Bombyx mori: one gene and its partner. The protein of the gene in region 2 interacts with the protein of the main gene of each other region in a pairwise test. Links are inferred from orthologs where the notes say so. Each region holds a gene or a part of one and is shown on either strand. Other genes may lie near its edges. The genes, in order: protein SAND and vacuolar fusion protein CCZ1 homolog.

Region 1 (4,272 bases), on a different chromosome or scaffold from region 2:
GTACTCACTGATGTTTTTGTTGCTTCCGAAGTCTGTTTTAATTTTTCCATATCATTCTTCCCCTGTTTTATGATGAAGCAATATACGTCGTACACAAATTTTCTACCCTTTCTTTTAAGTACTACACCAGTTTGTCACGGCATAGTGTATGTTTTATAAAAAATCAACAAACACTCAACAAATAGCAATGGCAACAAAGTCCACAAGCAATTATAACTAATAACTTAACGATTAATAACGATAGACTTTCCACTGTACGCAAGCGTACTTTTGGGAGCAAGCGGAACGAGGGCGCGGTGCGGGACGCAAGGTTCGACTGATCTACCAATAACGCGCTCGATACGATTTCCCCTGCCGTCGCGCCTCACCCTCACCACCAAAGTGATCTAAAATTCGGTTCTGCGCAGTCAAGGTCATTTGCTCACGAAGTTTGCCGATTACTATACCTCCCATCCATTTTTCTTTTTTTTTTCCCTACCTATGCTGATAGCCTTGAGAGGCTATTTCAGCTTCGCCCTAGCGTATGTAGGTGAGCTCACGGGGCTCAAGCCGGAGTGTTGCTAACACTGACTAGCAAGAACTAACTAGCAAGAGCAGTGCTTCGCAGAAGATCCGGCTAGAAACTCAGTGGGCTGTGTCTATGGGTCTATTTCTAGTGATTGTTTAACAATAACAGACTAACAATTACAATTTACTGTATTACCTAGTAAAAAGGCAGGATCTTTCTCCATAAACACAAGCAAATGATCAATCAATCTTTCAGCTCCGGCCAGTAGCCTTCTCAGATCATAGTTCCTTCGCTGCTCAAATATTCTATTCAGTTGGGTTAGTGTTAACAGCGAAACAATTTGATTGAATGCATATCTAGAAAGAAAAAAAAAGTATTTTTTAATTTCAAATATATATTTCAAGTGATCCTTTGATCTGCCCTAATGATATCTGACATGATTTGTCTATTTTTTTTGACATTCAATAAGTTACAGGTTGCATTTCTATTCATGTTTTCTAGTTTGAAGGCTGAACTGTCTATCAAAACTGGCATTTATTAAAAATATAACTGTCCACCAGCTGGTGATATTTATCAGAGGGATTATTAGCCCCGTACACTGTGATAAAAATATATTTTATCAAAATTTTTATTTATCTTGAAGATAAACTTTAATTTTCACTTACGTCAACTGCAAAACTAATTGGGTTTCACTTTCATTGGATTTCGAAACAGCAACCAGTATTAGGGGTCCCTTAACAAGGAATACTGCTTTACAATCTTTCGTGTTGATGAACCTCAATATATCCTGGTTCTGTTCTTCTATTACGCTGACAAGAGCTTGGATAACACCACACAGGCCAGCTAACTTGTCTTCGTTGCCATATCTAAAATCAAACTATGTTAGAAAAATTTTGAAATATTATCCAACAGCGGAATAACAGTAACACATCAGATTAAACTCAAACTTAAAAAAAAACCAATGGTTTGTGGTTTAAATGGGGAAAAAAAATATTCACTTATATTATTATATTAGAATTACATACCACATACAGAGCCTATATCGGTGAGTTCTCACATTCAAACTTAAGCTGCCACAAATCAATAGTGCATTCGAATTTGAAGGGTAGGACAGACTTATAGTTGTGATACTGACTTCACATCTCAGGCACATGACGGTATTCATATTGTGAGGTTGATAGACCCCAATAACCATTTAACAACAGATGGGCTATGAGCTCTACCCTCAAAGAATATCTCTTACCTTGAATAAATAGGTTTTCCTGCAGTGCTAAGTATGAACACATGTTTCTCTTTATTAACAAGTTCTGGTGACTGTAGATAGTCTTTATCATCATCTGTATCATCTCCATTCTCCTCAATTAAGTTCGAATTGCTGGCTGAAGCTGACATTGATCCCTGTAAGAATTTGTGAATATTAGTTTATACCTTTCTGAATGAGAGCCTCTAGCAGGCCAAGAAAAATGTTGACCCAAACTGACAAAATTCCTCATATTATGATACTTTTATTTAGGCATTCTAAATATGTAACTAATAAGATTTATGTTGTTTGGTTTTAAAAACATGTGTTGATGTTAGTTAATAGTGATAATAAAACTAATGTTTTGCTAACAATTCGAGGGTAAAATATTTATAGAAAATATTACTCTTTTTTAAATACTAATAAATTTCATAACATATTTAATTGATGATTATGTACTGGTAGTGATATAAAGACATGGCTGACAGTCTTAATTAAGTTTAGCAACTTACATAATTAGCTACTGTATCTATAAAACTTACATCTTTTGTTTGTAAATCATCACTTGATTTCGCTGCTTTCAGTTTAGGGTCTTCAGCAGTTTCCAAGATTTCACTTTGTATTTCACTTATAGTACTGCTCTTAGTAGTCAAGCAGGTCTCTCTTAGGCTGGAACTCATCTCCGATGCAAACTCTTCAAAGGAATCAGTGGGGTTTAGTATGCTATCATGACATGCACCCGGTTCAAGTTCATCAGAAGCATTTTCTGGAGCATTCATATGTTGAGGCACGTTATCATTGGATGTAGATGCCATGACGATACTTTTTCATTAATTTTAATATAACTATGTTAAGACAAAAAAAACGAATTTTTGTTTTTTGGTTTTTCTGTCACTTTATTTTGAATAACATTCCAGAACAATGATTATCGGTGTGAAGTTGTGAACGGGTATTTTGCATATTTTGACATTGATTTATTTGCCATCTCTGTTTTTCTAATGAGTTTCAGCTCTACTTTGCTCGAGAACTTCAACTGTCACGGCGAGATGTACAGATCTGTTTTAATCATGTTTTATTCATAGACCTATATAGTATACTTCATTGGTTTTATTGCAGTGACTGGAACATGAAGAAGGCGAGTTTATGTCATTTTGACAAATTAAGCAAAAGGGGTTATCTCATAATATTCTAGATTTTCTCATTAGTTACCAAATCAGTGTGTATAAAATTTTTATCTAGCAAATTAATAATATTTTAATCGACTAAAAATGGTGTAAATAACACATTGGTACCCATGAAAGTATATAAATGCTTGCTAAGAAAAACAACCATGTAACATAATTTTCATCGTCTGCATGTTATGTTATGCAAAGCTAAAATTATAAACGATGTCAATGTTTAATTTAAATAAAATAATCAGTGTGTGATTATAATAAAAATGTTTATCCTTTTTTTATTAGGAGTTTTAACTAGGAACATTTTCAATACAATTTGAATCAGAAACACAATGGGAGTCAACTTAGTACAGATACTTAGTTAATACTTGTACCTAAATGTAACGTTTAAAACGAAGCCTCAATTTTTTTCTATTAAGAACTAATAGATCATAAAGTATTTTTACTTTGTAAGTTTAATAAGTAATAACACTGGTCGACACAATATTGTGACATACTATAATGTAACATGTAGAAATGCTTACTAATTTTGACTTACCTACCTACTTTCACCTGAACATTGTATTATTTTTTGAAGATTGTAGTATTTTTTTTCCTAGCTTAGTGGTTCATAAATATGTACTATCAATCAACAAGTTTTGCCACATGCGTGGCAATCTTATTTTTAAAACCCAGCGAAGAAATTTCACATCATTAGTACCATCGAAAAATACGACAAAGCGTGGGTTCCACACTTGTTGTGTTTACTGGACGGGCAAGAAAATTTCGATCTATTCTTTTTGCAATTCATTTGATTTGGACAGAATGAACCGCTCATCTTATTGTCATTTTTGTCTTACATTATACAAAAGTCATTATAACTAATACACACAGTAAAATGAGGTATCCTCACTTGCCATCTGCTACCATACCAATCCACCATAGTGAATAATTAATTACCTATGCCAGAACCACTTCGAAGCTTCGATCTGTCCGCTGCGTCAGATGGAATCGAAAACGTCACTTTAGATCCCGATTTTCAAGAAGCTTCCTAATCTGTACACACGTACCTAGTCTTCATTCCCGCTATGAACCAAAGGGGAACGAACGGGTCTGACTGAAAATCAGCGCTGTTCGATTTATTGACCTCGAACAGCACTAGCGCCACCTCCTCATTGAGCCACCTCCTTTTGCCTTTTCCTTTTTTTTCTGTTATTTTATTCGTATTTTATTTTATATAATGTGAAAGGCAATAAATGATTTTATTAATATATTATTATTATTATTATAATCTAATGAGCCACATCTACTATCTCAAGGAGATCAGAATCTCAATGATTTGGTGCGGCCTTGAAATCAAGCAATTGATG
Region 2 (4,607 bases):
CCATCAATAGTGAAACAGACAGTCGCACTCAATGTTCTGTATATGAGGAGGTAGTATTCCTTAAATTCTGTATCATCTTCGAGTGTTACGTGTATCTTTATCAATTTATCTAAGTCTTCTTTAACATGTATTCCATCTGGCGGACTTATGAATCGGCCAAGTCTCTGCGCTGCTGTCACTACACCACCTTGGATTTCTATTTCAACTTGTTTAGGGAGCAATGTCTGTACTAGATATTGGTATAATGTTAGCATGTCTTCTGTACACAGACCGTTCCTGTGGAAGGATACAGGTTACTTAAATTAACACCTTGATAGTTTTCAAATTAGGAAAAGAAAAAGTAAATATTATCTATCCACACTTTATCCCCATGGTAATCAGGGGTAAAAAATATCCATATCTTGTTATAATGCATAGGAAAAAAATGGAGGAAAGTTCAAACTAAAGCCAAATGGTATTAAGTAAAAAAAAATCTGAAGATGATCAGTGATTCTAAGTTATACTTGGTTTGTTACGTGATGCGTGACCTAGCTTAGGACTCACTTAGTGTTTAGTAGTTACCGGAGTCCATATACGTCCATGAGACTTGAGACCTAAGTCTCAGTACTCGGCAGGAATAGGTTTTCAAATGAAAGTTCCTAAAGATGAAGTTTACAAAAATATTTTATTTTCTTACCATAGAAGCTGATCATTGTAAAGAAACAATATACATTTAAAATCAGGATAAGTAACTTCCAGGTGATCTACGAAGCATACCACTTTAAAAAAAGAGTTTTTATCTAGAGGTAAATAATTTATGCCAGGAATAACATCTGATATGTCATTTGTTAGATGTCTGGATGATATATACTGAAAATAAAAATTTGGAAATGAAAAAAGTCAACTCGAATAAGAATGACTTAATCTGAGTGCCATTTATACTTATAATTAATTTTATTTGAACTTTTTTTTTTGTAATAGAATAATAATTAGAGTTTTAAGAACTGAAGGAATTATTGTTACTGTCAATAACAAAATTGAAATATAATTAATTAGTTTTATTATTTTTATTACTTATTCTGCCTACCTGGCTGGTAGCCTAAGAAGCTATTCCAGCTACGCTCGGACGGGTACTACTTACAGGCGTAAAGAACTGCTCACTTATACCATATAAATCATCAGCTGGAATATTTTTGAATGGGCCCCTGAACATTTTAAACATCTTATATGCAGATGTTAGGAGATTTTGCATTACAGTAGGATTGACCTAAAAAAAATCAAGGAATTTCATCATTTATTTCAGTTATTTAAATTGATGAATAGTTAGATAATTAACTTAATTAGTAATTCCCAAAATTATGAATGTGAATGAAGATGTGACAAATTTATTTAAAAAAAATCTTTTTGCTGTATGTTAAGGTAAGAATTTTATTATAAAGGTTTTATCTTTATCTCTGTGAAAAACAGTAAAGTAGAAATGTAATGGTAAGTACTAAGCTATATTTATGTCAAAGGCAGTAATGCCAAGGGCACATAACTCAATGCCTATTGGTAAATTGAAATACTTTAGTAACTTCATAGCTAACATTTAATTGTTACATTTACTGATTGCCTATCTATAGTGTTAAAATATATATTTTTTATTGTTTCGTTCACTTACTATATCTCCCTGACTTTCACCAACTGCTGACAATGCTTTGGTTGTATACGGTATTCGGACTACCTATAAATTAAAATTTCTATAAGAATCTCACATCTGTAAATTTGTGTTTTATGTATTATTAGAAAAATGTGTATCTACATACTAAAACCATCCAAAAGTTTTTTTCTGGTTGAAAAAATATGTATCTCTTAGATTGTGTTTGCAAAGCTTCACATGGTTCAGATGAAAACGTCCTGAAAATGTAATTAAAATAATATCTACATTTTCGTCAGTTTGATATCATCTAGTGCAATCAGTTTTTCTCTTAATTCTGAGGATCATGAACACTGCAACTGTATCGTCAATGGTTATTAAAGTAGGTGATATGTATATGATTATACCAATAAAAATGTGGTCACTTACGACATAAATTTGACAACGGCTTCACACAGCCCAACTTGCATTTTCCGGGCATCTGGACTGACTTCATTTGGATAAAAGTATAGTATTCTCTTTAATTCCTAAATTGAAAGAGAGATTTTAAAATTACTTGAAATTTGAACGGTATAATTACATGAAATCATTACAACTTACATCGCCCTCCTTAGGTCCAAAGGTAGGGTTAAAAACGAAGAAAAAGTTGATTTTAGATCTTAAGTCTATCATATTTAAAAAAATAATATCATTTAGTTTAACACAGCCGTCATAAAAAGATAATGTTGCAATGCAAAACTTGTTGTTTATTTATTGAATTTTGACAATTTACATTAATGAAATTGACATTGACTGATTGAAGGCTATGACATTTATTTTTTAAGAGATTTTATGACCTGGTAGCTAAGACTCTAAGTCATGTCTTATTTTAATTCATATTCTTATTTTTATGAAGAATGATGATATGGAGTGAAATGAAATGAAATGAAGATAATTTATTTGAGACATTAATCAACTGGGATGAAATAAAATAAAATGAGATGATATGGGATGAAATAATATAATCTCAGTAAAATGGTGGTCATTTACTGAGATTTTTTCACTAGACTTTTTGGAGGATCCCGAGAAGTTACGTCCAGTGGCTTTGTTACATTTTTTCACATTTTGCACTTTTTCAAATACTAAACAGTTAGTAAACCACCGTTATTACACAATTAAATCTTCAAAAACACTAAATAGATAAAATAAAACAAATCACACAACTTCACTCCTCGCGTTTCCGCCAAAAAGTCCAAGTCGCTGATATTGATCTGAAATCCACAGTTATAAATAATAAAGAAATATTTAGTTGATATGTAGCCCTTTCTTTATCTTAAGTACTTCAGTGTGGGTAATCTAATGCTACTGATATAGTGAGAAAAGATTGTCCTTCGTAATTTTTCGGAAAAGTTCGTATTTATCGTGCTCTCTCGAATAGCTTCAGTAGGTACCCATCTTAGAGCCGTAGGCGTAAGTCGCATCAGCAGACCAATATATATATAGAGTGGATAATATGTAATTCAAATATTCGCTATAGTTTTGATCATAATATTTTCAGATTACTTATAAAAAGGTTATATAGCCATGTCGGAACCTCGAAAACGGTTAAAAAATGCAGTCCAAGGAATTATATTCAATATTTACTTGTACTTCATATCGGAAAATAGCAAATTCAAAAATAGCATAGACAGCCCACTGAGTTCGCCGCATCTTCTCAGTGGGTCGCGTTTCCGATTCGGTGGTAGATTCTGTGAAGCACTGCTCTTGCTAGGGCCAGTGTTAGCAACACACCCGGTTGAGCCCCGTGAGCTCACCTACACGTCAAGGAGAAGCTGATATAGCTTCTCAAGGCTATTAGCATCATCATCATCATCATCATCATCAACAGCCCACAGTCGTCCACTGCTGGACATAGGCCTCTCCCAATCCACACCACTGAGCCCGGTCTGCGGCTCTCCTCATCCACTTCTTGCCGGCCACCGTGCGGAAGTCATCGCACCACCTAGCCAAGGGGCGTCCCACGTTACGTCTTCCGCTGCGCATTTATTATTATATTATTATTAGCATAGGTAGGAAAAAAATGTTTAATTTACTTGTCGAGCTCTTCGTCGCAAGCGACGAGTTCGGGGAGGACAGTGACCAGTGCTTGAGGTATCTAAAAGCACCGTTAATGGATCGGGAGGATCGGTAATGACGTTTAGGGCGACGTCAACTGTTTACCATTCGGTCCACCGGATCGGGTATGCTATGCACTGGTTCATTGCAATACGTAGCTAAAAGATTACCTATTACATAATATATGGATTTAATATTTCTCAGTTGCTTAGCAAAGATAATATTGATTCAAATTTTATGTTCATAGATAATACAGTTATTAAGCTTCACATACATCTATTGACGTTTAACATTTTGAATTCAGACATTTTACTTATTCCCAAGATTTTGATACATTAATAATTTTGCTTTAAAATAGGCCTTTAATTGTCTACTTTTTTAAATTATTTAAAGTTCAGTTATAGTTAAAATGGCTATTAGAAATCCCCGCCTTCCGCTGTTACCTGGCTATGGCACTAACCCGCTGGTAGGTAAAAATTTACTTGTAAATCGTATTAATTTCGATTTAGTCTAAGAATAACAAGAATCGTTAATTTTTAATTCATTTTATAATCGACCCTTATCATACAGTATTTTAGCTTTGCAATTTTTTATAAATTAGGTGTACGTAATGTGTCAACCTAAGATGAACTGCGGGACAGATATTGTTGAACATTCACTGACCCATGCAGACTTTTTAACTGCTATTCCGATGTTTTTTTTTTATAAAATATATACTTGCTTTATTCTTAAATCATTTAAATATTTCGAGCAGGGGTGACTTCCGAAAGTATCTTCTTTCCACCAATTTAATAATGGTTAATATTAATTTGGGCTATCATTTCATGTACATCCATAATTATTTTTCAACGTCGAACTTAACTTTTTGGAAGTTAGATGCAAAGCGCTAATCTGTAAA

The links.
Region 1: the proteins of vacuolar fusion protein CCZ1 homolog (region 2) and protein SAND interact in a two-hybrid assay, tested with the Caenorhabditis elegans proteins (2 studies listed by BioGRID). The link is inferred for Bombyx mori from reciprocal best matches to the Caenorhabditis elegans genes ccz-1 and sand-1.

Annotation. Positions count from the first base shown.
Region 1 is NC_085134.1:3,992,232-3,996,503, reverse strand, and holds the start of protein SAND, read right to left. Parts: upstream 2,808-4,272; 5' UTR 2,564-2,807; coding exon 2,291-2,563; intron 1,907-2,290; coding exon 1,752-1,906; intron 1,375-1,751; coding exon 1,174-1,374; intron 865-1,173; coding exon 704-864; intron 1-703.
Region 2 is NC_085114.1:10,373,205-10,377,811, reverse strand, and holds the start of vacuolar fusion protein CCZ1 homolog, read right to left. Parts: upstream 2,849-4,607; 5' UTR 2,288-2,848; coding exon 2,216-2,287; intron 2,143-2,215; coding exon 2,045-2,142; intron 1,876-2,044; coding exon 1,785-1,875; intron 1,703-1,784; coding exon 1,640-1,702; intron 1,247-1,639; coding exon 1,121-1,246; intron 850-1,120; coding exon 677-849; intron 277-676; coding exon 2-276; intron 1-1. Other genes in the region: EF-hand domain-containing family member C2, read left to right, coding at 4,119-4,175.